3 linked regions of the Tamandua tetradactyla genome follow. The protein of the gene in region 3 interacts with the protein of the main gene of each other region in a biochemical or structural test. Links are inferred from orthologs where the notes say so. Each region holds a gene or a part of one and is shown on either strand. Other genes may lie near its edges.

Region 1 (7,751 bases), on a different chromosome or scaffold from region 3:
TCCAAGAAATGATCATAATGATGAATATGCAACTATGTGAGGATATTGTGAATTACTGATTATATATGTAGAGTGGAATGATCAAAAGTTAAAAACGTTTGCGTTTGTTAAATTTTTTTAAAAAATTTTAAAAATTAATTTAAAAAATACTGCTATTAGCCATTTAAAAAAATGTGTGCGGAGGTGACACATATGTGACATCAACTTTCCCGGTTTTAACCCCTTTCAAATATACAATTCACTAGGGAATGGGGAGTTAACAATGGGTACAGAGTTTCTGTTTACGGTGACGGAAAAGGTTTGCTAATGGATGACAGTGAAGGTAGCACCACATTGCAGGCGGAATTAATGCCACTTAATTGTACAGTCAATAATGGTAAAATCGTACATTTTTACTTATTTACTTTATGAGACCGCAATAAAATAAAATAAAATAAAAAGATCCAGAAAGGGCCACAGTGGCTCATGCAGGCAGAGCTCTTGCCCGCCATGCCAGAGACCTGGGTTCCATTCCTGGGGCCTGCCCATGCAGAAAAAAAAAAAAAAAGATCCAGAGAGGAAAGGGCTGGCTTGCAGAGGCCCACAAGTGAGGGGAGAACACTGTGAAAAGAGATTGGGGAACAACAATTTCGGGGTATATACCTAGAAGGGGGATGGCTTGGTCATGTGGTAATTCTATACTTAACTTTCTGAGGAACCGACAAACTGCGCTAAACATAGCAGCTATGTTTTTTCCATAGCAGCTGCATCATTTTACATTCCCACCAATGCATCATTCATTTATTTCCTTATTAGAGGATTTGTAGGTTCACAGAAAAACCATGCATAAAATACAGAGTTCCACGTACCACCTTGTTATCAGCACTATGTATTAGGGTATATGTTTGTTACAATTCCGGAAATAATATTTGTAGAATGGCACAATTAAATTAACTGCACTCCATCCATTGCGATAGGATTCGCTGTGTTGTACAGTCCTATGTTATTTTTGTTTTTATTTTAGTAATATATAGACAACCTAAAATTTCCCCTTTTAACCACATTATACATATATAATTCAGGGTTGTTAATTTCGTCCACAAAGTTGTGCTCCCCCCGCCACTATTCATTACCAATACTTTATGATCAACCCAAATAGAAACTTTGTACAATTTAAGTGTTAACTCCCCATTCTCTCCCCTCAACAATTCCGCTGGTAACCTAGATTCTAGATTCTGACTCCATGAGTTTGCTTATTCTGAATACTTCATATCAGTGAGATCAGACAATATGGGCCTTTTATATTTGGCTGGTTTCACTTAACATGGTGTCTTCAGAGGTTCGTTATGTATCAGAACTTCCTTCTTTTTTTTTAGGGCTGAATAATACTTCACCACATGGACAGACCATATTTTGTTTGTCTGTTCATCTGTCAGAGGATGCTTGGGTTGCTTCCACCTTTTGGCTATTGTGAATAATGCTGTTGTGAACACTGGTATGCAAATATCTGTTCGAGTCTCTGCTTTCAGTTCTTTTGGGTGTATACCTAGAAGTAGGATGGCCCAGTCATGTGGTAGTGGTAGTCATGTGGTCATGTGGTAGTTAAGTCACTTAACTTTCTTCTGGAACCACTGAACTGTTTTCCACAGCAGCTGCACCATTTTACATCCCCGCCAACGCATCCTTCGTTTCGATGGGCAGTGTCCCTGCTTTGGTCAGTGGAAACCACCTTTAGCTGGTTCCGTGTCCTTTTGACATGCTCCCATCATTCCTTGTGCACTTCCGTACTTTCTGGTACAACAAGATGTTCCAGGCTCATCTGGGACTTTCCCTGGAAAGTACCTTTTCTCCAAGGAACCCTGATTCCTTTTTCAAGGGGAATGGTATTTAGAAGCCAAATCAGGGTGTCAGGTGCTGGCTCCATTTTGAAAGTAGACCTAGTAAGATTTGCAGGTGGGTTGGTTGTGGAGTGTAAGAAAAAGAGAGGACATATCAATTTGAGCTTTTTCAAGATCCAGTTGAAATACCACTTTTCTGAAGTCTTCCTAGCCATCTCCGCAGCTGAATCTAGTGCCTATTTTAGCCAATATTATATTATTTGAATGATTTATCCGCAAGGGTGTCTCTAAATGCAGCACAATAATTAAGTAGCAGCCTCTGGTGCCACAGGGGAGACCCCGCGTCTTTAGCCTTTGGCTACACCTGGCTTTAAATCTCATCTTTTGAACTTACTGGTGGTAGGAATGTGGGCAGGTCTCTTAACCGTTTTGCTTCTCAGATTTGTTTCTCAGTTTCTTCACCTGTAAAATGAGAACTAGGCGATGTAGAAGAGGAGATAGGAGGCGGGGTGGTGGTTTTCTTTGAATCCACAGGGTGGGGCAGGGGATAGGAAACGCTCTATAAATATAAAGTGCTTGGCCGTGAGCCTGGCCTGTTGTAAATGCCTCTGGCAGCTTACTTATCCTCTTTGCACCTCAGTTTCCTCATCTGTAAAATGGTTCAGTGTGAGACACAACAGGAAGTATTCTGGTGAACAGTGAGTGTGGGCTCATGGCAGCTGCTGGCATTTTCTCAGGATTGCTTCCCTGTGTTGCCTTGAGAGTAATGGCCGCCTCTTGTTTATATTTTCATCATCTTTAGTCTGTCCTGGTCAGACCCTATTTCTTGACCTCTGTAGGTTAGACCCTGGACTGTCCCCATTCTCTTAGCTTTCCCCAGAATGGATGCCTGAGGCACAGTGGGGGGAACTAACAATTTGGTCAGCAGTGATTCGGTTGAAATGACAAGCTTGGCAAAAATGAAGTCTGCCTCCGTGATTTTTTTTTTTTTTTTTTTTGATATTGGAACTCTTTGTGCATTCTGACAAATATCTTCACCTGTTTTCTAGAATTCAATTTTTTAAAACTCATGCTTTCCTGCTTTTCTGTTTGCATTGGCAAAATATTGGAAAAGTCAATAGGTCTGACCGTGAGATGGTATCTTTTCTTTCATCTTTTTTTTTTTTTCCAGCAATACATGCTCATTATAGAAAGATGAGCATGAATATTCACTACACACTGCTAGTGAAATATTCAAAACAATGTAAATGTTCATCAGTAGGGATTACTTAATTAAATTGTGGTGTGTTCTATGGAATAGTACGCAGCTGTTTTATGCATAGAGATATGTAAATATGTCCCCAAACTGTTGTTCACTAGAAAAGTGCAGGGCAGCACATATGATAAAGTCATATTCATATATATAAATGACATACATGGATGATTGTGCAAACACAGATACTGTCACAAGTGTTTAAGCAGTGGTGTTGGGTATGGATCCTTTCTGCTTTATACCTTTCCCACTTTTGGGAGAAACCATCCAGTATGGGCCCTGAGTATCCCTCCCTGTTCTTTCTGGGCATGGCAAGGAAGCTTTTTACTCAGTTCCATTTCTCAGAGTTGTGTTTTCAGTGAGCCTCCCTGAGGGATGAAGTGTTATCTTCTTCCAGGACAAAGAGTAGGCTTGCTTACTGCCTGCTATAAAAGAGTGGTACCCCCCCAAACTCCATGTTCCCCAGATGCAATGCAAACCCACTGAGTGCAAGGCAGCAATCCGAGCCCCTCTGCGTCACTCCCGTGGGACTTGCGAGTGAGAGGAGCTGATGCGAATGTCCTGCTCATATCGCTTACTGTGCTGTGAGTAGTAAACTCCTGTGTCTCTGACCCTGGAGTCTCATATCTTTGGGTCACACTAACTTGTTGGCTTGTTAGTAGAGGACAATCCCAGACTCTACGGTTTCTTGCTTCAATGTCCTATATATACATGTGTCACTTTTATAATATAAACATCAGTATTGAGTGTGTAAGAAAAGAAAGGCAAAAAGCAAAAACATACGCATACCAAAAGTCAAAGCATACTAATTAGAGGAAAGTTAAGAAAACAGAAACCAGCCAAAGAAGACAATAAAGAACCTCCTACTTATATCTATCCAAAGACAACTTGATAAAATCTCAGTAGACATCTTTCTGGATCATTTTCCATTTAAATTCCCACGTCTCTGTTATTATTCTACAAAAAATATGACCACAGCATATGCAGTGCTGGGTTAATACCTTGTTTACTTAAGCAGCCCATGACTGAGGACCATTGGACTGACCCCTAGCTCCTTGTAATGAACCCAAGAACTAGCCAGGAACACATGGAGCTGCAAAGGCTTTCACTGCCCCCAGCCAGGGTTGGGGATTCCCCTTGCCCTGGTATTTCCTGGGAGCTCTTTGGGCAGGAAATGGCAGGCCCTGGCCTAGCAGTTCGGGGACCACAAAAGCAAAGAAAACCACCCTTCCCTCCTACCTCCTCCCTTGCACCCCTAACTCCTAAGCATGCACTCCCATTACCTGACCCCATCCCTACTCCAGCTCCACCCTTTGCCATTCTAATCCTCAGCCAAGACCCAGGAATCTCCATTCCTATTTCTGAGACCCCAGAACCCTCAGGCCCCACCTCAGACCCCAGAAAGAGTAGGTGATGGTGCTTTCAATGCAGAGCAGCTGCAGGAGAGGGCGGGTCAGGATGCAGGGGTGGGTGTGGGTGGAGCCCGCACTACTTCCTTTCCCCTAGAGGCCTTGTCAGCCCCAGTCCTGCCCCAACCTCCAGAAGAGTTGCAGTGTCCTGGCCCCGGCCCTGTGCCCTCATCATCTGAGCTGGTAAGGGGGTGCGACCTGGGGGGCTGGAGCTTCAGCGCACCTGGGAATGTGCCTCTGGCATGCAAGGATCCTGATGGGCAATGGGGCCAGACAGGGTCCGGGAAGGCCAGGAGATGGTGGCCATTGCTGGGGTCTGAACTGCTAAGGCCTTCGGGGCCTATGGGGTGGTGCTCGTGGGGAGCTGCCAGCATCTGTTCCCTTGCTATTTCTGATAATAGTAAAAGCAAGAGTGGAAAAAGCCGTTAAACCACAAGTTGGGCCTGGCAGTTGGCAGGGAAGTGGGTAGGAGAGGAGGGCCTGGCTAGCCCCCACTCCAGCTCCTTCTGTGTGTTCTCTTTCTCCAACTCCACCCCCCACTCAGGTTCCAAACCCTGCTCCTGCCTGTTGCAATGGAAATGGCCCTGCTTCTCCTCCTCTTTGGAGGCTCCTGGGTCCAGGTCATAAGCATGGAAGCACATTCTCTGGGAAGCACATCTGCACGGGGAGCTTTTGCCAACATCTCAGATAGCACTGTGACCTCCAACTCTTCAATGATAATGGACCCGCAGAAGGTTGGCAGCCCTGGGGACCTTAGCTCAACCCCAGCTTCCTCAGCTTCCTTTATAGCCAGTGAGAACCTTGGCACTGCCTCTCCTGAACCTGGGTCAGCAACCTTCCAAGAAGTTTCCACTAAGCAGCCATCAATCGTCCCAGAAATCTCTAATACAACCAATGACTCTGCTGTCCCTGGAACCATGATTTCTCTGGGGACCCATACTGAGACTAGTGAAACTATGACAAGTGGTGCTCTGGAGAAATTCAATGGGACGAGTGGACCCCCTGTCACCATAACAACTAGTTCTCTGGAGACCTCCAATGTGACTGGTGGACCCTTTGTCACCATGGCAACTACCTCTCTGGAGACCTCCAAAGGAAGGAGTGGACCCCCTGTCACCATGGCACCTACCTCTCTGGAGACCTCCAGTGCAACTGGCGGACCCCTTGTCTCCATGGCAACTACCTCTCTGGAGACCTCCAGTGTAACTGGTGGACCCTCTGCTACCATGGCAACTACCTCTCTGGAGACCTCCAGTGCAACTGGCAGACCCCTTGTCTCCATGGCAACTACCTCTCTGGAGATCTTCAGCGGGAGGAGTGGACCCCCTGTCACCATGACCACTAGCCACCCAGAGACCAGGACCAGCAGCTCTCCTGTCTCTGGGATAGAAGTACCGGCTATGGCCACCTCAGAGGCCTCCATGGACTCAACCACCAGTGGCTCCCTAAGTTCAGATCAGGGGATGAACGGCTCCCTGCTGGTGGCTGTGCTTGTGGCCCTGCTGGTGGTCGGGGTCCTTGTGGCACTGCTTCTGCTGTGGCGCCAGCGGCAGAAGCGGCGGACGGGGGCGCTGACGCTGAACAGGGCTGGGAAGCGCAATGGGGTGGTGGATGCCTGGGCGGGGCCAGCCCACATTCCTGATGAGGAGGCTGTGATAGCCACAGGGGGAGAGCCCGGGGGTGACAAGGGCTCTGGGGTCCCCCCCGCGGAGGGCACTGGCCGAAGGCCCACGCTCACCACTTTCTTTGGCAGACGGAAGTCTCATCGGGACTCCGTGGCTCTGGAGGAGCTGCAGGCTGGGTCGGCCCCCAGCCCAAAGGGAGAGGAAGAGCCGCTGGTGGGCAGAGAGGATGAGGCCTCTGATGGGCCAGAAATAGGAGATGGGAATGCCCTTCAGAGTTTGTGAATAGCAGGAGTGGGGTCAAATTCATTTCCAGCTTTTATCACCTTCCTCCTGCCATCACCTCCAACCTAATCCTCACCCAGCGTGTTCAAAACCAGCACCGTCCCCTGACTCTTCATCCAGCTCCTCCACCCTGGATCTCCCACCAGCATCCTCACCCTGCGTCTTTACCCTGTGTCCTCACCCAGCTTCCTCACCCTGTGTCCTCACCCAGCCTCCTCATCCAGCCTCCTCACCCACCACCTGCATCTGGCACCTCATCAGGGCCTTCACTCAAGGAACATCATTTGTGGACTGAATGAATAAACCTTCTTCACCACTTCCTACTTCTTCTCCCCATCCCTCTCACTACCCCTACACCATCTCTTTCTCTCTCTTTTGCCTTTTGTCCTTGGAACGGCTGCTGAGTCTCCATAATGCCAAACTTACTCCATCTAGGATTTCTTGGACAATTCCTAAGGGGATATCAGAGTCTAGGAAGAAGAAGCAAAGGACATCCTAGTAAACTCCCACCTGGGATTAATTTTGTAGATTATACTTGACCCCAGAGATTCAAAGGACCTCCCTGGCCCTGGGTCAGCCTGGGAACCTACTCTAAGTTTGGGGTCCAGTCTTTGGTGTCAGCTGGGTGGGGCCATCCAGCTGTGTGCTCAGGTGTGCCTGTGACCTTCCCCAGAGAACCTGGACTCGAGGCTGGCCCATGGCCCATCCCGCCACATGGATTGAGATAGCAGAGGCTTGGGGACTTCCTCTTCTCCAGGGCAGAGGTGAGAAGTTTCTGGGCAAGTGTAGTTTTCAGAAAACCCAGCATCTGCGTAAGTTCATTCCTGGATGCAGTTTGTGTGCAAGAAGTGAGGGTTTGGAGGGTTTTGTGATGCGTTGGTGGATATGAACTGAGTGAGGGAGGGCTGCCGGAAGGAGTGCAGAAACTGAGGGCTAGCCAGTCAGAGGCGGGAAACACAGGAACTGCTGAGAACATATGTGCCCTTATTTTGGCTTGGGTGGGGTGGAGGGAGCAAACTTAACTGTGTAGCCCAATAGAGAATGCTTGACTTGCTAGAAAGACCACATGGCAAGAGGAGAAGAGCCTGGGGGCCTGGGGGCAGACAAATTTTGTTGTCCCTCTAAACCTAGTGGTCTTTGCTGACCCACCCCTCTCTGCTTGTCTGTTTGTCCGTATGTCCTCTGAGCGTCTCCCCTTCTCCAGGAGGAATCAGTGAGAGTGAGTCAAATAAGGAGAGGTGACAGGCAGCTGGAACAACACAGAACCTTCCTGCGTGTGTCTGGGATGGAGAGGAGGGGACAAGTTCCGATTGTGTTGTCTCTAGGATCAGTCCAGGCTGGAACCCAGGGGAGTATGTGGGTCACA
Region 2 (7,977 bases), on a different chromosome or scaffold from region 3:
CATGTGAATACCCCGTTATCACAGCACCTTTTGTTGAATGCTTTTTTGTTGTTGTTGGTTGCTTTTTGGAGTGCATGGGCTGGGAATCAAACCAACCCTGGGCAGGCGAGAATTCTACCTCTAAACTACCCGCGCATCTCTATTTCTAAACAAGACATCCTTCATTCTACCGCACTTCATTTTTTTTTAATTTATTAATTTTTAAAAATTTTAACAACAAACAAATTAAAACATTGACATCACTCCGTTCTACACTGTTCTAGTTTGCTAGCTGCTGGAATGCAACACACCAGAGACGGATTGGCTTTTAATAAAAGGGGATTTATTTTGTTGGTTCTTCAGAGGAAAGGCAGCTAACTTTCCACTGAGGTTCTTTCTTACGTGGAAGGCACAGGATGGTCTCTGCTGGCCTTCTCTCCAGGCCCCTGGGTTCCAACAACTTTCCCTGGGGTGACTTCTTTCTGCATCTCCAAAGGCCTGGGCTGAGCTGCGAGTGCTGAGATGAGGAATGCAGAGCTGCTTAGGCTGTGCTACATTGCGTTCTCCCATTTAAGCACCAGCCAATTAAGTCAAACGTCACTCATTGCAGCAGACACGCCTCCTAGCCCACTGCAGATATAATTAGCAACAGATGAGGTTCACGTACCATTGGCTTGCTTGTGTCCACAGCAACAAAACTAGGTATGCGCACCTGGCCAAGTTGACAACTGAATCTAACTAACACATACATATATAATCAGTAATTCATAATATCACCACATAGTTGCATATTCATCATTTCTTAGAATATTTACTGTACTTCATTTTACTGTGCTTCGTAGATACTGTTTTTTTTACAACCTGAAGTTTTTGGGGCAATCCTGCATCAAGCAAGTGTATTGGTGCCAACTTTCTTCCCTTTATTTTTTTGAAAGCAGTTTTTTCGCGATAAATACACATGCCGTACAATCCATCTAAAGTACAGAATTGCTGTCTTCTAGTATCTTTGCAAAGTCGTGCACACATCGCCACAATTAATTCTAGAACAATTTCGCCCTGAAGAGGGTTTGCTATGTTATACATCCTATGTGTCACGCTCTGGCTTTCCTTCTAAACTTTTCCTTTCAGCTGTACCCACCTATCCTTCGTCTTAGATACACTCCTTATAACGTGCTCCCATCACCTCCATCCATTCCCAAACATTCCCAATCAACCTTACTACAGATTCTGCACAAATTAAGCATCAGCTGCCCATTTTCTGCCCTCATTCTGTCTTCTGGTGACCTATTTTCTATATATCAACACCATGCGTTTGCTAGTTATATTTAGTTCCTATCAGGGAGATCACACACTGCGTCTGACTTCTTTCACTCAAGATAATATCCTTGAAGTTCATCCATGTTGTCACATGCTTAAGTCATGTCATCAAGACTTAATTTCTTCTTACAGCAGCATGATATTCCATCATATGTGTATACCACATTTTGTTTGTCCATTCGTTGTTTGATGGAACCTGGATTGTTTCCCTCTTTTGACGATTGTGAATAATGCCGCTTTGAACATTGTATGCCAATGTCTGTTTGCTACTCTGTTCTAGTTTCTCTCTCATCTGGAAGGGCACATGGTGAACCCGGCATTGACTGCTAGCTTTCTCTCCTGGTTTTCCTGTTTCATGAAGCTCCCTGAGATGTGTTTTCCTTCTTCATTTCCAAACGCTGGTGGATAATGCTTCTCGTGGCTGTGTCGTTCTGCTCTGCTCTCTCTGAATCTCCTTTCTCCAAAATATTTCCTCTTTTATAGGATTCCAGTAAACTAATCAAGACCCACCCAAATGGGTGGAGACACGCCTCCACCTACTCCAGCTTACAACCACTTTTGATTAAATCACATCTCCAGAGAGAAGATCTAATTACAGTTTCAGACATACAATACTGAATAGGGATTAGAAGAAACGGCTGCCTTTACAAAATGGGATTAGGTTGAAAACATGGCTTTTCTAGGGTACATACATTTCAAACTAGCGCAGATCCTGCTTTCAGTTCTTCTGAGGTAGATACCTACCTAGTAGCTGGAATGCCAGATCATATGGCAGTTCTATACTTAGAGTCCTAAGGAACTGTTATCTGAGCCTTTTTTCCAACAGCATGTGCTCACTTTGTGTCTCTCTGTCACATTTTAATTAAGATATATACAATGTTTTTTTTTTTTTAGAGCTAATGCTATAGTGCCCTTAAACCCTACAGTCTAGTGTAGAGGTAGCTTTTATGTGCACTGGAAAACAAAAAAATTTTGTGTCTCACTTCATTGCAATATTCTTTTTATTCTAGACCAAGGCCCAGTAGCTCCTGTAAATCATGTTCATGGGTTTGGGGAACTAGGACTTCATCTGTTTGTGGCACACAATTCAACCCACGTCATCATGCAATATCCTGTTGGGGCTTCTCTGGGATGGCATTTGCCTTGTCATTTCATTAGAAAAGCCCTAACGTTTTGTAGTTTTGAGTAGCATTTTCCCACCTGATTGGGACCAGGGTGGCTTCATCTGTAAAACGGAAAAAACGAGGGGACTTTGTGGGCTTAGGGGGGAGGGTTAGAAGCTCTGCGTGCATATTAAAGTGCTTAATCATGCCAGGCTAGGAGGGAGAGTCATCATCATCGTGTTCCTGCTGAGGACGGGATGAAGACTGCTGCAGCCCTTAGGTCAGTGAGACAAGAATCCCACCCACCTACAGTGTCCACCTGAGATGCAAGCTACACCTGAGACACAAGCTGCACCTGACATGCAAGCTGCACTTAGGATGCAAATTCTACCTGGGATGCAAACTACATCTGGATGCAAACTACACCTGGACATGAGCTACACCTGTATGCAAACAACACCTGGGACACAAGCTACACCTGGGATGCAAACTACATCTGGATGCAAGCTACACCTGGACATGAGCTACACCTGGATGCAAGCCTCCCCTGTATGCAAACAAGGCCTGGGAGGCAAGCTACACCTGGGCTGCACCCCGAGGGCTCAAGCTTAGAGCTGCGCGTGTGTTCTTTTGCTTCAGGTGCCTGGTTCCTCCCATGCCTCTAGGAGGCAGGGCCTCTGAACATCCCCACTTTAGAGACAACGAAACTCAAGGTTCCAAGCACAGCCTGACACAAAATCACAGCTAATAAACCACTTCACATCTTCACATGGCTTCTGGGTGTGAGGGACACCCCTCAGCTCAGACGTCAGCCTTTAATGTCAGGTCTCTGGGCCCCCACTGAGGTGAGCAGAGATGGGCTGGGACTGTCATCGCCTCTGCCTTCTGGAAACTTGGCTGCCGCTGCCACCCCCACTTCCTCCCGGGATACCCCACTTCTCCGTCCACTCCCCCTTGGCCCGGGAGCGTGGGGCATTGACCTGGTGTGACCTGACTCATCTGCAAGGCAAGGACAGGAGCACAGAGGGAATGGATCATCTGTCCCCTTTATCAACCGGCGTTTTGTCTCTTCTGCCACTCTCCAACGGGACAACGTAACCAGGAGTCCATGGGAGCCTGGGAGGGCCCCACAGAAGGATTCCAGGGGCCACAAACCCTCGAGCCTCCCGTACCCAATCTCCATGTGCATCCATTCAACAAATATTTGTTGAGCACTGTTTTAGTTTCCTAGGCTGCTTAAAGCAAATACCGTGAAATGGTTCAGCACGAGCAATGGGAATGTATTAGCTTACAGTTTGAGGCCAAGAACATATCCAAATCAAGGCGATGCTTTCTTCTCAAAGGCTGCTGCTGGTGACCCTTGGCTCCTCTGTCACCTGGCAGGGCACATCGTGGTGTCCGCTGGGTCCTCCCTTCTTTCCGGGTTTCATTGACTTCAGCTTCTTGCATCTATGTCTCTCTCACTCTCTCCATTCCATTTATAAAGGACTCCAGCAAGAGGTTTAAGACCCATCCTGATGATATTGCGAGCCATTGATTGTATACTTCACACTTTGGATGGATTGTACGGTGAGTGAAGATATCTCAACAAAAATTAAAAAGACAAACACTGGGGAAAAAAGATGCATCCTGAAAGAGGTGGCTCATGCCTGAACTGAAGCAGCCTCATCAGAAGATCCTACTTACAATGGGCTCACACCCACAGGCATGGAGTAAGTATAGGAACATGCTTTTCTGGGGTACAGAAAACCACACGAACACGGGCCATGGGCCTGGCGTGGTTTGAGTCACTGGGACACAGCTGTGAACTAGACAAAGCTTCCTCCCTTATGTTCTCAAGATTCGATGAACTGCAAGACGAAACCAGTGAGAAAATTTTAAGTACATAAGTCGATGACTTCTGGGGGGAAAACTAAAGTCAGAGTGTGAAATGGGAGACCAGGGAAGGCCTTGCTAAGGTGCCATCAGAGCAGGCAGAGGGGAAGGAGGAAGCCAGGTGGATGTGTAAAGGAAGAGTGGCCCAGGCAGAGGGAACAGCCCATGCAAAGGTCCTGAGGCAGAGATGTGCTGGGTGGGATTGAGGCCCAGCATAGAGGCCAGCGTGGCTGGAGCAGAGAGAGGGAAGGGGAGGCGGGGAGGAGCTGAGGTCAGCGGGGATAGGAGCAGGTAGGGGCCAGATGAATACTCTGCTTTAATTTGGCTTGGGAGTTGCTGGAAGGTGTTAAGTAGAGGGGGTGCTGAGATTGGATTGGGATTTGAGTTGCTCCCTCAATACCATGTGGAATTGTTTGGGCTTGGGGTGGGGGTGGGGATCCTCCAGGTGGGAGAGGGGGTGGGGTGAAGCTTTAGGGATGGGGAGAATGGATGAAGCTGGGGCACCATCAAAGCTATCAACCAAGTCTGTTTTATGGAGCTCGGAGGCAGGATAAGACGCCCCAGAGATGGAAGCGCAGGTGGAGGGGGTCTGCCCACCTGGCCCCTCGGCCCCTTCTCTTGGAGCGAAGAGACCAGCTGTCTGGAGGGAAGGGTGATGAGGGGGACCGGGCAGGGGTGAAGGCCAGTTACAAGCAGCATCCTCAAGACCCAGGGGCCCCGGTCTCGGCCATTGTCAAGGAAAGGGCCCTGCAGGAAGCCAAAGCGGGGCTGGCTGCTCAACCCAGCTCCTGGCACCAAGCCAGCACTCAATCCCCATGGGCTCTGTTCATTTTTTAGGGCTCTTTCTAGGGGATCCCTTATTATCACCCCAAAACCTCTTCTCTGATCACCAGGAACGCTGAGATCTCACACTAACCCCTGGAGGCCATGCCTTGAACTCCTTCTTGAAATACCACCTGATCAGCTCAAAGTCATTTGCGTAGAGCTTCCCACTGACTTCCTCTCTGGGGGCACAGCGCCTCGTGCCCAAGGTTCAGCGGGAAGGCGGGGTCCCTTCCCCTCCAACTTCCCTCGCCGCTGGGGTCCTTAGTACTGAGAACAGAGGAAGACGGTTGGGTTTGCGCTTCCTGTGTGTTCATTTAGGGGACCGCAGAGCTACTGGGACCGGCTCTGTCGGGGACTCACCAGCACCCACCGCCTCGCAGGGCCCCCCCGAGCTGTCCCCTGCAGGCCAGGACCCCCAACCCGAGGCCGCAGAGCCTCCCGCTGCCCCTTCCCCAGGCCTGGCCAAGGTGTGGCCCCTGGATTTCTGCAATCTTAACCGCCGTACTTCCGTCCCTTGGGCGGCCCCACCCCTGCCCCCTACGCCACCTTCCTGTGTGCCACGGGCTGGCCACCATGGTGCCCTCGGGGATGCTGCCTGCGGCCCACCAGGTTCTGTTTGTCTTCGCGCTGCTGGCCTGCCTGCTGCCCCCAGGTGAGCTGGGGTGGGTTGGGGCAGGGTTGGTGGGAAATGGGGGAGCAGAGAAAGCCAAGCTCCCCCACATTCACTGGCCTGGCTGCTTCGCACCTTTCTTTGAACTCAGATCTGACAGAGGGCTCCCCGGTGTCCTCGGGAGGAAGTTGTGCATCCTTAACTCAGGCTCCAGGGCATCCCGGGGCCCCGACCCTGCACATAGTTTGCGTTCTCTTGTTCATCTCCCCACCCATCCACCCACGACTCCCCTGTTCTGTTGGGAACCCCAGCCTTTGCCTATGCTATTCCTCTGCCAGAAACGCTCTTCCCTTTCATTTGGTGAACTCCTATTCACCCTTCAAAACACATTGTAGTTGCCCCCTCTTCTCCAAGAAGCTTTTCCTGACTCACACCCCACTTGGGACTGGATCAGGGCCTCCCCTGGAGTCTCCCCACCCCTGATCAATCATCTGTCCTCCCCCATGGAGGGCAGGCGTCCTTCTGGTGGGGCTCCCCTTTAGATCCCAGAATGAGGAGGTGCTGAATGGTGAGGGGGTGGGGTGGGGGAAGTCAGGGGAGCAACCAACCGAGCTTTCCCGGGTCTCACAGGCATCTGGGGACAGGCATTCTCGCTGTGGGTGGAGCCCCAAGAGCCGCTGGTGCCCCCCCGCGGGTCCCTGCTGGTAAACTGCAGCACCAACTGCCCCGGCACCCCCCACATCACCCTGGAGACGTCCTTGGACAAGGAGCTGCAGGGCCGCGGCGCCAGCTGGGTGGCCTTCTGGCTGCACAAGGTGACTGATGACAGTCGGGTCCTGTGTGCCGTGTCTTGCCACGGCTCCCAGATGTCAAGCTCCACCAACATCACCGTGTACCGTGAGTGGAGTGGCCACGGGCAGTGGGGAGGGGGCGGGCCTGGGGAGGTCACGTCGGTGGGACTAGACTGCCAGCCCTGGACAGACAGGGGGGACACATCTCAACCACATGCTAAGGACAGCAGTGCTGACAGCAGTTTGTCTGGGGTCCCGATAAGCATTTTTACAATGGCATCTCAGGTAATTTATTTATTACTTTAATTTTTATGCTAGGTAATTCGTGTGCAAAAAGTATAAAAAAAAAATGGTGCAAACGCAAAATCTACATTTACCTAATGCTGATGACCAGAGGGCTCTCTTCTAAGCGCTTCACCCCTAGTTGCTCACTCAGCCCGTACAGAAGTCCCCAGCAGAGAGGTGCAGGCATGACCCTCGTTTTGCAGGTGGGGAAACTGAGGCTCGGTGGGGAGAAGCCACTAGTCAGGGTTCCCAGCCCATGAGGTGAGAAGCTGAAAGTCTGGTTCCTTTAACATTTTTTTATTGCGAAATATAACATATACAAAAAAAAATACATTTCCAAGAACATCGCAACAATGTGTTGTAGAACAGATTTCAAAGTTTGGTATGGGTTACAATTCCACAATTTTAGGTTTTTATTTCTAGCTGCTCTAAGATACTCGAGACTAAAAGAAAGATCAGTATAGTGATTCAGCAATCATACTCGTTAATTAAACCCTACCTTCTGGGTGGGCCACGGTGGCTCAGAAGGCAGAGTTCTCACCTGCCATGCTAGAGACCCAGGTTTGATTCCTGGTGTCTGCCCACGCAAAAAACAAAACAAAACAAACCAAAAAAAACCCCTACCTTCTCTGTATAACTCCACCATTACCTTTGATCTTTTTCCCACTCCTTAGGGGTATTTGGGCAATGCCCATTCTAACTTTTTCATGTTGGAAGAGGCTGTCGATAATATGGGGTAGGGAGATGGAACTAGCTGATGTTCTGGAGAGGCTGGGCCCTCTAGGTTTCAGGACTTATCTGGTCCAGGGACCCATCTGGAGGTTGTAGGTTTCTGGAAAGCTAACTTAGTGCATGGAATCCTCGTGGAATCTTATACATTGCCCTAGGTGTTCTTTAAGATTGGCTGGAATGGTTTGGGTTGGGGGTCGGCAAGCTATGGTAGCCGCAAGGTCTAACTGCAGCTTGCATAAGAGTAACCTCCAGAGTAGCCTCTCGACTCTATTTGAACTCTCTCTGCCACGGGTACCTTATTTTGTTACACTTCTTTTCCCCCTTTTGGTCGGTATGGAATTGTTGATCCCACGCTGCCAGGGAGACTTCCAAGTCCCCACTCTTAAAGGTGGGGTCTTCCTCCCTCAACCCTCCACCCCCATGACCAGTTTCTTCTGAACCTTCCGGAGTTTCTCTGCAT
Region 3 (8,061 bases):
TTTGCCACTGATATATTTCAGCACTCTAGGTCAGTCCGTCCTTATCTGTGGGTCTGCTTCCCCAGCTGTATAACAAGAATGATTGGACTTGATAGTTATGAGAAGACTTTTCAACACTGATGTTCAATAAACCCTAAATAATGAAACCAAAAATACAAGAATATCTCAATGAGTCAAAACATGCTATTTTTAGGGAATCTAACAGAGCCCTAAGGCCTTTTTGATCTAAAAAAAAAAAAGTTAAAGGGAGCAAGAAAGGGGAAAGATCTTTTCTATAATGTCTAATTGTCACCATAAAGCATAAATGGACATCAGTAAGCCTCTCCATTCTGGCACTAAAGCAGACTCAGTAAATAGGCTATCAGAAGCAGAGTCCAAGAGTTGGGGTCAGGGCAAGTTTTAACAGACTTAAGGGAGATTCACCTGACTAGAGGAGATAATTGGTAGTATAACTGAAACCAGTCCTGGAAAGACTGTAGACATGGTTAATATGAATGAAAGGGTTTGATTTTTTCTACTACTTTTCCCTATCTGTCATACTCCAGAAATAACTTAGAGCACACCAATAAAGAAAGGGTGAAGAATAAGGAATTTTTTCCCCTTCGTTAAAGTTACTGGCTGGTATTATGTTGACTAGGGTGTGCCCTTCAATGTCCCAGTACTAGGAGACACCTTGTAACACCCCCAACTCTCAGTAGGAGACCACACAAATGCCAACATTGATCAGTTTGCCCTTTTTTCTGGGGACCATGAAGCCTTAAGAACCAGGGGCAATTAGCTTTGGGTAAGAGAGGGAATTCAGACTTCAAGAACTCAATCAGTGGGTCAGAATAGGGGTTCAATGGGATGAACATGAAAAAACCTGGCCTGCAATCTTGGCTTTGTCACCAGGTGCCCTTAGATAGACCCTTTCCTGTGGGCCTAAACATCTTCGTTAGTTAAGAGGAAAAAAAAAAAAAGAGGGTTATACTGGATAAATAGTCTCTGAAGTCCCTTTCCAATTAAGAACCTATGGTCTTAACAGACATGATAAATAACTCTAATAACTCCTAAGAGTTGACCATTCCTTAAACCAAACAGCATGGAAAATTCTCCAGTCCTTCCAGTCTATCAAAATTCAGCCTTTTCCTCCAATTTGATTCAAGTTTCAGTCAACCTACATAAAAATATCTTCAGTATTCAGCTACCTTCAGAACGCTGGGCCTGACGACACACCGCCTCCAGTCTCTCTCTAGTCTCTCTCCATACCCAGGAAAACGATTACCATGTTGCCTTCATTGTCACTTTTGACCAAGATGGGATGGTTAAGGCAACATTGAGACAACTTTCAGGCCCATCAAGTTGCATTTACTGGTGGGATATCTCAGAATTGATAATGAGAGATGCCATTAGGTGAGAGGCCAAGGGGCAGTCTATTCCCAGAGACTGTGCACCACCACCTCCACTCCCCAACTCTTTAGGCAAAACAACACCTTAAGAGTCAACAGGTCAACCATAGAGAGGTAGATCCAAAGACAGATTCCTGGAAGGATCCTTACAAGCCTTTGTTTTGGCTGAGAAAATGTCTTGTTTTGTTCTTTACCCTCTCTTTTTCAAAGCCCTCTCTTTTCATTCTCTTACACGTGTAAGGGGGGAGGTGTTTGTGCGAAAGTGTGGCAAAGCCCACATCTTAAAACCACCAGTAATTTAAAAGAGAGATGGTGAAAGAGCATACTTAGTTGAAAACTTGATGTTTCTGAGGGACAGGGTTCTGGAAAGGCAAGAAAGACCTGACAATGAGGTTGGAACACAGCAGTGTGGCAACCAAAGCTCAGCACACCCCAGAAGAACTGGGCCCTCCAATCCCTCCTCTCAGCCCAGAAGCCCTCAACCCTTCTCAACATTACTGGCCACTATCTCAACTCTATAAGGCTCAGGCAGTCTTACGGAGAGTAAGCCAAGCCCAACAAACTGCTTAGCCTAAGAGACTCAAGCCAGGGTGGTCATCAGGCCTGCCTGAGCAAGGCAAGGGCCCCAGCAGCCATTTGGCGTGACTTGCACAAAAGCAAGCAGGGCTCATTAGTCAGGCACACCCCTCCCTTGCCCCTCCCTCCTGGGCATCCGGCCCCCCTTAGGCCCCACTCCCAGAAGGTTTCTGCTCTTCTCAAAACAGCCTGTGGGGTGGAGATCAGATCCTTGAGGCAACAACCACTCCACAAAGGTGTGGCCCAGCAGGAGAGAACCCACACCTCACAGAACAGTCCTGAGGGAACAGGAGGGGATAGGGAGGCATTAAGTAATGAAAACGGCAGGGATTTCTTGGATAAATAGGAGGGAGAACCGAGTTCTCTCCCCCAGGACGTGGCGCAGGCCTCTATTCAGTATGGCGCCTAGTGAACTACTGTTGCTCCTGGGTAAAAGTCAGCAGCTTCTATGAGTCCCTCCATAACTCTCTCCTTCCCTCCTAGCGAGAAACAGCTGGGGTAGCCCGGGGGAGCGGAGGGGAGGGCGGCTGTGGGAAAGGTGAATGGGGGTGAGGGATCCGCCCTGGGAAGCTTCCTCCATTCTTCCCCCTTCTCTGTCCATGACCCTTCTAGGCCAGTAGCAGCCTTGCCCCAAAAAGGCACCAATTTCTAGGGAGGAGGAAGTGTTCCCCTCCAGACCCAAGTCTTCTCTCCCTTCAGGCCACAGCCCTTCAGGAGCAAGGGGAGACCCGGAACCTCAATGAAGCCTATGCCACTCCCGCATTGCCAACGCAGGGAACTGGAACCTGAGAAAGCGGCGGCCCAACCCCGTCCACACTTCTAGCACTGAGACCCCACCCCCACCCCTGAGGGCGCGCCAGACGGGTACCCCACTCCCGACCTCTCCCCACCCTGACCACTAAGTACCGCGCGGCGTCTCAGGTGGGCGGCTGGCCGGCTAAATCCCCGGCCATCAACTAAGGACCACAGCTAGAGCCCCCGGGATCGTCAGCGCCCACCGCCGGCACTCACCGTCTTGGGCATGGTGGTGGCTAAGGCAGAGGAGTTGGTGAAGTTTGGCCGGGAGCTGTCGGGCAGCGCTGGGCGCGTAGTACACAAGGCTCGGGCTCGGGGGGCTGGGGGAGGACCGGGGGCTCAAACTGGGTCCCTCTGTAGCGTCGGAGCGACTGCTCGGCTTCCTGCTAACGGGCCACGACTGCACAAACCCCACCCAGGAAAGAGCCGCCCCCGTCGCGCCGCCTGCTCCTTTATGTGGCCAGGCTTCCGCGCCGCTCCCCGCCCTTGTGCCCGCCTTCCAATCGGCTGCCGGCCTTGCCCCGCCCACCCAGCCCTACCCGGCCGGGCCACACCAACCACGTTGGGTTCTGAGCTCAGCCTTGGCTACCAGGAGGACTCACCCCCACCCTAGGCCCACCCTGCTCCTCTCCCACCCCTCCCTCATCGCTCCTAACCCTCCTGGTCCGGACTATCCGGCCCCACCCCCACTCGGAGTCCGTCCCCTGAGCCGCGCCCCAGCGGATGCTTACACCAACCCCTGCAGCAACTTTCCATTGATGGGAAACTCACTACCTACCAGGGTAGCCCATTCCTTTTCAAGAGAGCCCTGACTCTTAAACAGTCTCTCTTTGTGTGTTTCTGTACTCCTTTTCTTCGTGGCTTCTAGCAGTGGGCCTCAGTTTTTCTCCCTTGAGTCACACAAACCCCCTGCTGCTGAAGACGGGATCCCACGACTCCCTGAAACTTTTCTTCTCTTAGCTAAATTGCCTCAGCTCTTCCAATCCTTTATCCGTTCTCATCTGTAAAACTCTGTAACCCTTACCCTTCAGATTTCCTTACCTTCCTTTTTCAGTCCTCATTTTCATCAGAATTGGGTTCCTTTTCCCCATATTATCCTCTATTCACTTTCCTTCCTCCAAATCCCACCCCCCACATTCCTCAAATCAGTACCCTGACCCTTTAGACCCTCCTCCAACACACACACATTCACTTTCTAAGGAGGCTATAATTCCCCCTAGTTTAGATACACCCCTAGTCCACTGCCTTGGTGTGTCTTCCAACTCCCTTTCTACTTCTTGTCAAGATTACAAAATATCAGAACAGCTAGACTGTAGTGGTTATATGGTTAACTCTGAATTTTCGTTTGAAAGTGTCTTTTTTCCACCTATCCACTGGCAACTGGTTGGAGCCATGGTCTGAGTATCCTTTGTGAAGTAGAGCACCACACCCTTCAGGGATGGGAAAAGGAGCCATTTGGTGGCACTGGAAAGGTTATTTGAGTTGGGGAAGGGTGGGTGATGTGTACAGTGAAGATCAGGACATCTGGCTCTAGTCATGGCTCTGCCATTGACTCACTGTAACCACTGTGTTACCTTGGGCAAGTCCCTTCCCCTCTCCTGGCTTGAGTTTCCCCTTCTGTAACAAGAAAGGGCTGGACTCCTAGGCTTCCATGGTCCTACCCCACTCTGACATTATAAAGGATGAAAGAGGAAGTAGACTCCTTAGAACAATAGATGAATCTCGCAGGGTTGTGTAAGGGAAGGCCTTGCATTTGTACTTAACAATCAGCAATCCTATTCCCTGCTTTTCTGCTTTCCCAGCTCACTAGTGCCCATGAGTCGTGGGCCTCGGTTTCTCTCACTGCTGCCAAGATTTATTGATCTGTGCTAAGGAAAACAAAGTCCCCTGCCCAAACAGTCTTCTAAAGCTGAGCAGTTGCCCCAAGGAAGAGAAGCACTCCCTGAAAAGCTTCAGCAGCAGAGGAAGCAGAAGTAGCCCATCACACTCCTTGACACTGCTATGGCCTCTCTTCCCAGTTCAAGGAACTCACTGATTCCCTCATTCATGATCACCTGGAGTACAGGGGTGTAGTACTAGCCTAAATGCCTAAAGATGGATGGGAAGCTGATTGGAAACTCCAACTTTCATGATCCACCCTGGAAACAACTTGTATGATCTTCCCCACCCCACCCCCCATACTACCACCCTCCACACACAGGAGCTGATTAAGAAATACCAAGCAACTGAACACACCATTAAAAGGGAAAGCTGTAAAAAGTGGATTAGTGGGTGGGGGTGCTAGAGAATAAGAGGGAAAGAGGGCCGAGAGAGAAAGATAGCATCTGGGCTCCTAGGAAGGAAAAGGGTGGGAAATGAGGGAAGCATAGATTACCAGACTGTTTACTCCAATCTCCCTCAGACTGGGGTCACTGAGGATCAGGAAAAATCTTCCTGGCGCCAGAGGAATCCCCCCAACTGGGGTTAGATATGAATTTATGCCAGTATTTACAGAGAAAAGACGTGGGAATAGGGCCTAAAGATGCCCACATAAAATCGGCTGCCCTGAGAGAGGGAAGTAAGATGTATGAAGAGACTCAGATTTCTAGAAGGGTAGAATTCAGAAAGTTCAGGGAGGGGCAGGCAAGCCTTTTTCAAGCAAAAGAGGCAGGTGAAAGCTAGGATGAGTAGAGGGTGGTACACAAACATTCTTGAGCTAGTGTCCAAGGAACCTAAGGACATCTGAGTGAGGGGCAGGGACTCTAAGGGAGAAAGATTTGGTCTGGGCACTAGGATTTCTTAGGGGCTGGAATCGTCTGGAGCTGCAGCAAACCTGGGAATGGCAAGCACTAACTGCTAAGGTTGATTGTCTGACAACTTATGCCAAGATTAAGAGAGAAATGTGATTGGACTTGTAATCACCTCCACATATATTGTTCCCACCCAAGATCTATGCTCACTGCAATAAGAAGCTTCTACATTCTAAATGACATTCCTCCTTCAGAAGATGCAGTGCAGGAGAGGCAGTGCCAGAGAAGAATTTGGATGGAACGCAATCCTGAATCCCAGGTGTACTTTGAATAAAGACCACCCCTGCAATCCATTGGATAAAAGTTCCCCATCACTTAGGACTCTCTGAAGGCTGCTTTTCATTTCATCAGTGTTTAGAAGTCATTCCTCACGTCTAAATTAGATATTTTCTGCTTCACTTAGAGCACATCTGCTCCTGATTGATGCTTGGGGAAGGAATTAATTAAGCCTCTAAGGTTCCTCTTCCATTCATAGAGGAGAGAAATGTAGCAGGGAGAGATGCTGTCAAACACCAGCCTGAGGCCGCACACTCATGCCTTCTCATCCTTACCATGGTGCTGTAGCCCAAACACTTGGCTAACTGAGTCTCTTACACAAACAAGAGAAACAAGAGAATAAGTAAATAATGTATTTCTGTCTCACCAAAGGAAAGAGGCCCCCTCTTGGCAAAATATGACTGAGAGCACAAACTGCAGCAGTAGGGAAATCTTGCTTTTAACCATCCTCAGTTTTCCACCCACTTCTTAGAAACAAAAGCTAGGGTTTGGAGGAAAGGAGAGAAGATAGCATTAATGACACATGTATCAAGTGCTGAGCAGTAGGGAGAACATTTCAATATCTAACCCTCACAAGAAACTTTAGCGGTAGGAGTAAGTTCATTGAGGTTCTGAGGAGCAAGTGACTCATCCAAAAGGTATATTGGTTTGCTGATGATGGGACAGAATATGGGCACAGGACTTATGACCAAAGCCCACCTTCCTTCCATCACAAGAACTTGTGACCTTTCCAATGTCAATCTGCGACCAGGCAAACCTATGGAAAGGGAGGCATTTTAAGATTCTTATCACTCCTGCACCTTAGTGGCCAACCAGAAGGCTTGAGGTAGCAGGTGGGTAATAATAAATGGCAGTGATAAGGCATCTTGCCAATATTAAGTGCTTGGGAATATTTATTATTAATCATACTAATGGACCACAATGAAAGCAAGGAGAGTTTTTCTCTGGCTTTTCTTCTAATAATGTTGGAAGCTTTTCAAGAGTTTCCCACAGTCAGCCAATATCAATTCAGTTTGAGTCAGTGTCCTCTTGGAATGTGAACTTAGTCTTCCAGAAAGGATCTCCCAGGCTCCCAATCGAGTTATTGGCCCCCAGCCCCAGCTCCACCTACCACTGACCACATATATGTGGCCAGTCTGCATGCAGGGCCCAGAGAGAAAACAGCCAGCTGAGCCTATGGCCCCTCCTGAACTGTCCGCGGTTTAAACTCGATGCACCTAGGAGGAAACTCTCCATCTGTTCCCCAAACCCATGGGTCCAGCAGTGACCGTGTGCCTGTTTGGTGCCAGGGTCTATGTGAGGCTCTGCAAGGGGTACACACCTTTTTCCTCCCTATTAGCTCTCCTTCCCAACAGCTGTATATCTGTTGATGGTTTTGCTGTTAGCACTGTCCTCTGTATGCACATCATCATCTTTAACTCTCCTCTGCCTGAACCCTGTCATTTGGCTACCAAACCCTGCTCTCTGTCCTCAGCTTCTCTCTCTCCCAACTCCATTGCCAATACCCTAGGTCAGCCCTCACATTCTCTGGCCTGAACTATTGCAACAGGTTCCACCCTGGTCTCCCTGCCTCCTGGCTGCCCTGCCCAGGCCATGTGCACTCTGTGCCAGCTATACTCCCAATCTACCTCACAGAAACACTCTCCTGTGCACAAAAAGGTATTTGTAAGGACATTTACCTTGGTGCTGTAATAATGAAATAAGGGAAACAACCTACATATTCACCCCTAGAGAATTGAGTAAATACATTATGGTATAGCCAAACAATGATATAATGGGATATTATTCAGCCTTTATAAAGAATGAGCTACCATGAAATGAGGTTTTAGATCTATTATTAAGTAACAGAACAATATGAATAATATGATCCAATTTATGAATTAAGTATCTATGCATTCACACATATGTTTTAAAGTCCCTGGGAAAGGGGTAAGATACACAGCAAACTGATAGCAGTGGTTATCTCTGGAGAGACGACTGGTATTGTAAAGATGACTGGTATTTGATTTTTTTCAGTGAACAGAGATTACTTTTATAATTTTATAAAACAATAAAAAGGAAGGAGCAGGAGGAAGGAGAAAAAGACAAGGAATGTGAGAGAGATAATAGATAGCTTGGATAACAGAATCAGGATCCAAAAAGATTTTTACACCCTAAATGATGGTAAAGCTTACAAGTGAGACAAATGTAAAGACTGTGTTTGAGATCAGATAACCAATTTCATGAGAAAAAGATGG

The links. The genes of interacting proteins can lie anywhere in the genome.
Region 1: the proteins of MSN (region 3) and SPN form a complex in vitro, tested with the Homo sapiens proteins (2 studies listed by BioGRID). The link is inferred for Tamandua tetradactyla from reciprocal best matches to the Homo sapiens genes MSN and SPN.
Region 2: the proteins of MSN (region 3) and ICAM3 form a complex in vitro, tested with the Homo sapiens proteins (2 studies listed by BioGRID). The link is inferred for Tamandua tetradactyla from reciprocal best matches to the Homo sapiens genes MSN and ICAM3.

The regions. Positions count from the first base shown.
Region 1 is NC_135349.1:24,228,280-24,236,030, forward strand, and holds the start of SPN (leukosialin), read left to right. Parts: upstream 1-4,547; 5' UTR 4,548-4,661; intron 4,662-5,022; 5' UTR 5,023-5,050; coding exon 5,051-6,385; 3' UTR 6,386-7,751. UniProt on the Homo sapiens protein: Predominant cell surface sialoprotein of leukocytes which regulates multiple T-cell functions, including T-cell activation, proliferation, differentiation, trafficking and migration.
Region 2 is NC_135337.1:91,448,826-91,456,802, forward strand, and holds the start of ICAM3 (intercellular adhesion molecule 3), read left to right. Parts: upstream 1-4,773; 5' UTR 4,774-5,672; coding exon 5,673-5,751; intron 5,752-6,339; coding exon 6,340-6,606; intron 6,607-7,977. UniProt on the Homo sapiens protein: ICAM proteins are ligands for the leukocyte adhesion protein LFA-1 (integrin alpha-L/beta-2). ICAM3 is also a ligand for integrin alpha-D/beta-2. In association with integrin alpha-L/beta-2, contributes to apoptotic neutrophil phagocytosis by macrophages.
Region 3 is NC_135353.1:107,466,142-107,474,202, forward strand, and holds the start of MSN (moesin), read right to left. Parts: upstream 3,204-8,061; 5' UTR 2,988-3,203; coding exon 2,976-2,987; intron 1-2,975. UniProt on the Homo sapiens protein: Ezrin-radixin-moesin (ERM) family protein that connects the actin cytoskeleton to the plasma membrane and thereby regulates the structure and function of specific domains of the cell cortex.